Arabidopsis thaliana: one gene and its partner. The protein of the gene in region 2 interacts with the protein of the main gene of each other region in a pairwise test. Each region holds a gene or a part of one and is shown on either strand. Other genes may lie near its edges. The genes, in order: AT1G22550 and KCO5.

Region 1 (4,916 bases), on a different chromosome or scaffold from region 2:
AGAATCGGCACAGGCATATTCCTCTCTTTCCTTGCTATGGTTGTAGCCGCTCTAGTGGAGATGAAAAGGCTTAAAACTGCTGCGGATTACGGGCTCGTAGATTCACCTGACGCTACGGTTCCAATGAGTGTGTGGTGGTTAGTTCCTCAGTATGTTCTCTTTGGTATCACGGATGTTTTCGCAATGGTGGGTCTTCAAGAGTTCTTCTATGACCAAGTCCCGAATGAGCTGAGGAGTGTGGGGTTGGCTCTGTACTTGAGCATATTCGGTATTGGTAACTTTCTCAGCAGTTTCATGATATCAATCATTGAGAAAGCGACAAGCCAATCTGGTCAAGCGAGTTGGTTCGCAAACAACCTGAACCAAGCTCATCTCGATTACTTTTACTGGTTACTCGCTTGTCTCAGCTTCATTGGCTTAGCCTCCTACTTGTATGTTGCAAAGTCTTACGTCTCTAAAAGGCTCGACACCAGTTAAACCCAAAATCTCTCGTTTAAATATCGCAGGTACTCTCTTTCCCTCTCTTGTGTAATTTTTGAATACACAAATCATTACTGTGCAAATGTATACTTTTCATGTCTGGTATATCGTGTTGATCATGTGGCTCTTTTGCCAAATCCATCGCATCTTTCACGTCCCTACCATTACATGGCTCAACACCAGTAAATGTATATTTTTTCATGTTTGGTGTATAGTCTTTTCCTTATCGTGTATATTATCCAGCTGTGTTCCAAGCTAACTTCCAGAGATTTCATCTTAATAAACTAAAATTGTTGAATAAAAAATAGGTTAAAGAGTTTCTAACCACGTTATGAATAACCAAATATGATATGAAAGTAGATACACGTTGACTTTTTTTTTCTTAGACTTGATCTACACGGCGATACACATACAGCCTGGATAATAACAAAAACGCCAAGAACCCAATGGCAGTGAAAGCAGCAAGCAACCAGTAAAAATAATCGACATGGGCTCTGTTCAGGTTAGTATTGAACCAGCTATCGCCGCCATTTTTCCCGGTAGCCCAATTAATCACAGTGATTAGAAAACCGCTCAAGAAGCTCGCAAGACCCATCGCACTCAAAGAAAGTGCAAGACCAATACTCCTTAGCTCCGTGGGGACCTGGTCGTAGAAGAATTCTTGTGTCCCCACTAGTGAGAATACATCGATCATCCCAAGTAGTAAATACTGAGGAACGAACCACCATATGGACATTGGGATGGTTGCGTCCGGTCTATCCACAAGCCCATGTTCTTTAGCCGTCTCGAGCCGTTTCATTTCTACTAACGCTGCAACCACCATATTTAAGCTGGAGAGCACCATTCCAGCTCCTATTCTTTGTAGCATTGTGATCCCTGAAGGCTTTTTGGTAATCAATCTAGCTAACGGAAGGAAAACACGCTCATAAGTTGGAACTGAGATGAAAATCGATAAACCGATGAGTGCTTGAAAAGAAGCCGGAGGGATCTCGAAACCCGGCAAGATTTTTCTGTCCACCGTAACGCCTTGTTTTGTGAAGAAAGTAGCATATTGAGCGTAAGGAATCGTGCTCACTACTGATGTGATCCATATCGGAATAAGCCTAACCAAAGCCATCGCGTCTTCCACGTCCCTACTACTACATGGCTCTACACCTCCTTCTCCTGGTAGCAACGCTTTTGCTAGGAACCTTAGTAAAAATAAAGAAAACTTTATACTCAAGTCACAATAAACCAAAACTCAAAAGATTCAAGACTTGTGAACTTACTCAAGTTGTCCTTTACATTTCTTGTACGAACCAACTTCCAACTGACCTGAATGTGTTAACTTCAGTTTCCGATTCTTGAACGCCACCAAGAAAACTCTACCGATCCTCGCAAAAGCGTTATTCTTCCCCTCGCGATCTCCTCTTGGATATCTATAAGTTTTTCTTCCAAACAAGAAGAGAGCAAGAGCCATGACCATGAACAAACAAGGGATACCAAACCCAAGAGCCCAATTAACATTGTCTTGAACGTAAACCACCACAATAATCGACAAAGTTATTCCCGCGGATAAACTCAAGAACCACCAATTGAAAAACGATCCTCTACTTATTCTCTCCTTTGGATCTCCCACATCAAACTGGTCAGCACCAAAAGCTTGAACACATGGCTTGTGTCCGCCTTGTCCGATCGCCACCAAATACAGAGAACAAAAGAATAATATATTCACCCAAAAAAACGGTTTAGCAGAAGCGTTGCGGTTATGTTGACGTTGCTCCGATAATCCCATTAGGATTAAGATAGAGGATAAGGTCAATAGTCCTAGTCCCTGTAACAAAAATCCCCTCAAATTTTAGTGAAAATTCTAAAATGTTATCAAGATATTGAAGTAAGAGACAAGAACGTTATTACAAGTATGTAGATGAGGGAAGCAACAACAATGGTACGGTAACGACCAAGATAAGCATCTGCAATGAAAGCTCCTAAAACAGGAAGTATCGAGGCGGTTCCTGACCATGTGTTCACGTTCACGGCGGCGGTGGCTGTTGATTGTCCGAGAGGTCCGGTGAGGTAAGTAATTAAGTTGGAACCAATCCCAAAGTAAGCAAATCTTTCTCCAACTTCCACACCTAAAAAACCACACCAAAAAAATAAAATAAAATGTTTAAAAAATAATGGTTTATGAGACAATTTACAAATCACAAAAACTGTTCTTTACCTATAATGTACCAGGCGGATCTCCATCCGCCGGTGGAAGATTTTCCGGCAGGAAGTCCACGGTGGTCAACGGAGTCGCTGACGGAATCTTCTATAAGTGCAGCTTCTTCTTCGGCTATCGCCATTTTCTTGTCGGAGGAAACTGGATTTTAAGCTATATGTATTTATTTATATTTAGTTTTGATATTAAAGCTATATTTGCTGCGTGAATAATGAACACGATAAATAGATTGTGATATGTATATATTCTTTTTATATAGTCTAGTCAGATGAGTGATTGATTATGAGGAGCTGTATTATTTTTATGATTTGTACAGCTGCTATCATAATTTTAAATGGACGTGATTCACGAGCTATATTTTAATCCTCTAATATGATTACATAATCTAAAGTTACAACTAACAACCAATAAACATGCGGTTTCATGTCTATATATCACTGTTTTCGTTATTTTATCTTACAGAAATCAAAAGTCAACTATTAGGGTTTATTAGCTACTAAATTTAAATGACACGATCCATACAAGCTAATTTTCATCTTTTAAATAAGCTAAAAGTTTTTTTTTTAGTAATTGTTTGTTATTAATTCTTAGTGTAATAATCCTTTTTAAATCGTGTTAATTCAGATAATGATTTTAGATTACTATTTTGTGCTATCATGATTTTATTTTATTTTTGTTAAAATTAGTTGCATTATATACCACAATTCCTGTATAATAAAGAAAGTACTATGAGTCGAGAAAGTAATTAAATAGTGTATAACTTAAAATTGTTTATAATTTAACTAACCGTCGTAAGACCCTTTAACTGTTATTCAGTTAAAAACGTCACATTACATGTATAATAAGTATAAACACTTTTATGAATAAACTTAAGGGAAACTAAAAATTGAAAATTTTATTTTGACGTATTATTGTTTAAGTATAAACTAGAAGTGCGTTTTCAGTATGAGCGGGTTCAAAAGAGATGCTATGAGTGTCAACGTTTGACTCATGAGAGAGATGTTTGCCCTGTCCTCATAAAAGCAAGACAAGATGCTGCTTTGGCAAGACGCTCTGGTAAACCAGTGGAGAGACCTAAGAAACCCCCTGTTTTGAAAGAATCAGACCCTTTGTTTGGGGTTTTAAGAGAGGATCAAGTTGGGATTGACAAGTTGACGGGCAGACCGAGAATCGCTGCAGATGTTTTAGAAGGGATGAGACAATATCTTTTGGTCTCTGATGAAACTGAGAAGCTGCTGAGGATTAACAAGGTGAAAAAGTCTGTTGGAGAAGTAGAGAAGGATCCAGTTCTGAGAAAGTCAATGCTGAGTCATGAACCAGCCCCTGTGGTTCATCTGGACTTGTCTAAAGACAAAGGAGTTTTCTTTAGCTATGCTGATGAAGGGATTAACTTGAGGAATGTTGGAAAAGTATTAGCTCAGCCCAATCTGCGTGAAGAGGGTGGGACTTCAAGTTCTTCACATTCGTGGAATTTAAATCAGGCTGGCCCTAATGCCTTTGATGTGGATGCCAATTTTCTTGCTTTGTCTCAGCCTTTTCAGGATAATTCGGCGGTTTTTAAAGCTGGGTTCTTTGAACCTAGCTTATCCGGAATTAAGCCTAAGAAAGCAAAGGCAAGAAAAAGGCCAACTAAGAATCAGAGGAAAGCTAATCCTTTACCGGCTTCAGGTCTTGCTGCATCACAAGAGTTGAAGAAAGGTCTCAGTCATGGTGCTAAAGAGAAACGAAAGGCAGTTGATGAGGGAACTAGCACTGCAAAATCCACAAAACTCAATCCCTTAGAGGTGATCCCAAAGGGGGGATTGCCCACCGCGCAATGAGCATTATCAGCTGGAATTGTCAAGGCTTGGGACGGTCTCAAGACTTGGCTTTCCCTCGTCTTAAGGAATTGCGTAAAAAGTATTTCCCTGAGATGTTGTTTCTGATGGAGACTATGAATAGTAGAGATGTTCTTGTTGATTTGCATACATTTTTAGGTTATGATAGAGTGTATTCTATAGAGCCTGTTGGAAGGTGTGGTGGTTTAGCTATCTTTTGGAAGGAAAGTGTTAAGATCGATATCAAGTTTGCTGATAAGAATTTGATTGATCTTCAAGTGCAGTTTGGTGCGGTGAACTTTTTTCTGTCTTGTGTGTATGGTGACCCCGACTTTAAAAAAAGAAAGATTGTTTGGGAAAGACTAAGCATAATTGGAGTTGGAAGGAGAGAAAGATGGTGTATGGTGGGTGATTTC
Region 2 (4,501 bases):
GCGATCAAATCTAAATAGATCATGAAAATTGAAAACAGGGACAAAGTCACAAAGAGCATAAATATCACCAATCTCAAGAATGAGAATGAAGATGGATCGAGACCGCTATCATATTCATCAACAACGAACAAACCCAAGGAAAAGAAATCTCTCCAAACTTAGAAGACTACCATTGACAGTAACATTGTATTTTAAGCCTTAAATGGTTAAACATGCATAATCTTAATGGACCTTTAAGCAAGCCTAGTTAGTCAATAAAAGGCCTAATTATGTATAACGTATAGTCGATGAAATGAAATTTGTCACATATATTTTGCTTGCCCTTCAAAAAATTCGATTGGTAAATTGGTAATATGTAAATTACATAATGGTGGAAACACATAAAACATAAAATACTAACTCATTTACTTTTCTAATATTCTTTTATTTATACTTTTTAAAATCAAAACAAAACAAAAAAATCATATATTTTATTAACACTATACTGTTAAATTGACAAAATACTTGCAAAATTGCACTAAAAACTAGATTTTAACCCGCGATGTACCGCGGGACTATTTATTTTATTAAAAATAACTAAAAATATATTATTTTATAAATTATCTGTATGTAACATATTGTTTGTATTTTATAAATATATAATCATAATTTTTATATATTGTACAATCCCTTGATTTTATCATGGAGTACACCGTAAGTCGATTTTTAAAATTTAAAATTTAAAATTATATATGATTTTTGTTAAGATTGTTTCTTTTGTCATATATTTTAAATTATATCATTGTATTTTAATTGTTAGTTATAGGATTTCACCCGTTGTATAACGTGTCGTATTACTATAAACTCAAACCCGTCTTACCATCTAATACCGTTCAATGAAATTAAACATATTTAATGGATTTCATCCTAGGTATACTGTCTAATATTACTATCGACCCAAACCCGTTCTACCATCTAACCCCGTTCAATAAAATTAAATATTATTTTATTATTTTTGTTTTAATAATACTTTAATTTTAATTATATATAATTCAAATCAATTTCAAACTTTTTATTTTAAATGGTTATTTAATTGTTATAATTTATAAAGTTCATATATTTTAATATTCTAAAACCGTCATACAATCTAATCCCGTTCGGTGAAATTAATAATTATTTTTTAAATTTTTTGTTTAAATAATATTTTTATTAAAAGATTTATAATTCAAATAAATTTAAAAGGTGTCTTTCAAATAGTTATTTGATTTTTTATAGATTTTACATCTAAAATATTTCTCTATATGTAACATATAGTTTTGTATTTTATAAATATTATAAACGTTTTTCTCTTAAATATTATAAACGTTTTATAAACTTTAAATAATTATAATATTTACCTTTTTAATAAAGTATAATATTAATAATCATTTAAATAATTATGTATAGCTAATTTTAAGGGATTTGATTTAAAGTTTGTTGTTTAGATTAAATTTGAATGAATAATGTGATTGATATATTAAATAAAGAATTAAAAATCAAATTAAATAATTAAAGAAAAAAGAATTAATGCCAATGGTATACCATTGTAAATAAGTGTCAAGTAGAGGATTTATTTGCTAAAATGATTAGAAAAATGTATATATAGATACCATTACCAATCTAAACCTAAACACTTACTTGCGTGAAGCCATGAACTAACAATAATAATACACATGTGGTCTGACGATAAATCTGATTTTCATACGTGGCATACTATGTGTGCCCCATTCTATAAACAAATTGCTAATCCAAAACACCAATCACACTCCTCTCTCTGTTTTTTTCTTTTCTTTTGGCGTTTTCCGTTTGGTAAAAGATTTCATTTTTATTAGCTTTTCAAGATTCAGAGATTCCTAATTTGTTGGTAAATGGAACCACTCATCAGCCCACAACCACGTTTCCGCCTCCAACCCATACCGGAAAATCCCTCCTCCTCCTCCTCCTCCGCCTCCATCACAATCCCTCGCTCTATCTCAAACACTTCCTTCTTCCATGAAATCTCCCAAGAACGTCTTCTCCTTCATCATCAAGACCTCGAACAATCCGTACAAGACGACAAAGAAGACCAAGACTCAGACTCAGACGAAACAAATCGCTTTTTATCTCAGACAAGACCACTTCACCGATCTCGTACAGCTCCAGCTATGGTAATCATCAAAGACTTAAGAACCAAACCTCCAGAAACCAAAAAACCATCACCAGTCTCTAAATCCATAATCAGACAAGCGATTTTCTTGCTAATCGTCTACTTAACCTTAGGCGTTTCAATCTACTCATTCAATCGTGACCACTACTCAGGAATCGAAACCCATCCTGTAGTCGACGCTCTCTATTTCTGTATCGTCACTATGTGTACTATTGGTTACGGTGACATCGCTCCGTTGACTCCATGGACAAAGATCTTCGCTGTTGTTTTCGTCTTGTTCGGATTCGGGTTCTTGGATATTTTACTCAGTGGTGTTGTTAACTACGTTTTGGATCTTCAAGAGAGTATGATTCTCACCGGAATCCAAACGAGGCAGCATCATCAACACCATCATCATCATAGATTCTCTGCTAAAGATTATATTATTGATTTTGAGAAAGGGAGGATGAGGATAAGGATGAAAGTTTGTTTAGCGTTATGCGTCGTCGTTTTGTGTATCGGTGTTGGTGCTTTGGTTTTGCATTTCGTTGAGGAATTGGGTTTTGTTGATTCGGTTTATTTGTCGGTTATGTCGGTGACTACTGTTGGTTATGGTGATCGTGCTTTTAAAACGCTTCAAGGGAGGCTTTTTGCGGCGGTTTGGCTACTTGTTTCGACTCTTGCGGTGGCGCGTGCGTTTTTGTATTTGGCGGAAGCGAGAATTGATCGCCGGCATCGGAAAGCTGTTAAATTGGCGTTGAATAGAGAAATCACTGTTGATGATTTGCTCAAAGCTGATACTTATCAACATGGTTTCATCAGGTTAACATCTTTTAAAAACCTCAACTTTGTTTTTTTTTTTAGAATCTTGGATTAATTGCTTAGAGATGAGAGTGATTTGAGCTGATTCTGATAAAGGGTTTTATGCAATTTGTGTGAAGTTTAGGTCAAATAAGTTGCAGAGAGTGTTAAGCTTTAGATTAATCATGTTAATGTTAAGACTTTTTCTTGCAAGCAACAGTTTAGTTATGTCTTTGTGTAATCTAATTTCAATGATTTAAGTTTGAGTGATTAGTGTTTTGACTTTTTTTTTTATGTTTTGATTTGGTTTTGGTGTGTGTTTCAGTAAATCAGAGTATATAGTGTTGAAGCTTAAGGAAATGGGGAAGATCACTCAGAAAGACATTGACCAAGTTGTGATTCAGTTCGAGAAACTTGATCCTAATCAAATAGGAAAAATCACATTACCTGATCTTTTGGGGGATCCTTTGTGACAGAAGAACATTCTCTGTCTCTGCTTTTTTAGGTTTTCTTCTTATTCAATTATCTTCTCTTTTTTTAATTCCTTTTTAAAGAAAAATAACTGAATATATGTAGCAACAGTGATTCATACAAAGAATTATCTCTCAGTTTATAAGAGATAATATGAAAATGTATATGCTTTATTTTTGCTCTCTATAAAAAAATTATGTTCAAAGATATTCGCTAAGCGCTAATCAGATGCTCGGGCAAGGTTGTTAACAATTTTCTTTATTTTATTTTATTTTTTATTATTTTTTTAATATCAAGAGGTTTTGGGCCGAGACACGTAATCTCCAAAGTCCGTAACAATTTTCTTTATTTATCTTTCAAAATAATGAACATGTCGAGATATTTTCATGTATATCTTTTTTTATGAGATGACAATGAACAAAGAGACTGAGACATTCATTTGAGTTTGGTGAGATATATAATTAAGAAAATTAAAAATGATATGGACAAACTAATCTTTCACTTGTGAGATCAGTCAGTAGAAAGCTGACGCTTTTTGTCTCTTGATTCAGTAGAAAGGTCGATTGACTAAGTCATCAATCCTAGTCCATGCACAAATTTTTTTAGTCTAAAATGATTATTAAACCGGTAAGATTGATTATAGAATCAGATAATCAGTTTAACACAGATTGGTATTGGTTATTCTGCTTCTGCATATCAATTTATCATTAAAACAAAACAAGTTGAGAGTTGTTGAGTGATACTACTCGGATAATGACTACATATGAGAATTGAGAAGAAACTTTTTAGTGTTTTCTTTAAATGTTTTAGCTGAATACTTTAGCTTTGAAAGAAGAAGAAAAATGTAGGAATTGACTTTTTATAGTTATTTCGATCATCTCTTAAGATAATTTAAAGTTTGAATTAATATTGTTGTTTTCGGACGTATCTTATGAACCGACAACAAAGAATCTCATAAAGGCAATGTAAATGGGTTCCACTTCTATATATCCACTACCTTTGAACTGATCAAATGTATGATTATGATCTGTGTTTTTAAAATATATTTAGCAGTGTCATTTTTTGTTGAGGATGATTTGTTGTTTC

Evidence for each region.
Region 1: the proteins of KCO5 (region 2) and AT1G22550 interact in a protein complementation assay, tested with the Arabidopsis thaliana proteins (one large-scale study listed by BioGRID).

The regions. Positions count from the first base shown.
Region 1 is NC_003070.9:7,965,746-7,970,661, forward strand, and holds AT1G22550 (Major facilitator superfamily protein), read right to left. Parts: upstream 2,948-4,916; 5' UTR 2,808-2,947; coding exon 2,684-2,807; intron 2,595-2,683; coding exon 2,377-2,594; intron 2,294-2,376; coding exon 1,749-2,293; intron 1,671-1,748; coding exon 863-1,670; 3' UTR 755-862; downstream 1-754. Other genes in the region: AT1G22540 (Major facilitator superfamily protein), read left to right, coding at 1-477.
Region 2 is NC_003075.7:791,517-796,017, forward strand, and holds KCO5 (Ca2+ activated outward rectifying K+ channel 5), read left to right. Parts: upstream 1-1,660; 5' UTR 1,661-1,886; coding exon 1,887-2,965; intron 2,966-3,269; coding exon 3,270-3,417; 3' UTR 3,418-3,721; downstream 3,722-4,501. UniProt on the Arabidopsis thaliana protein: Probable voltage-independent potassium-selective tonoplast ion channel.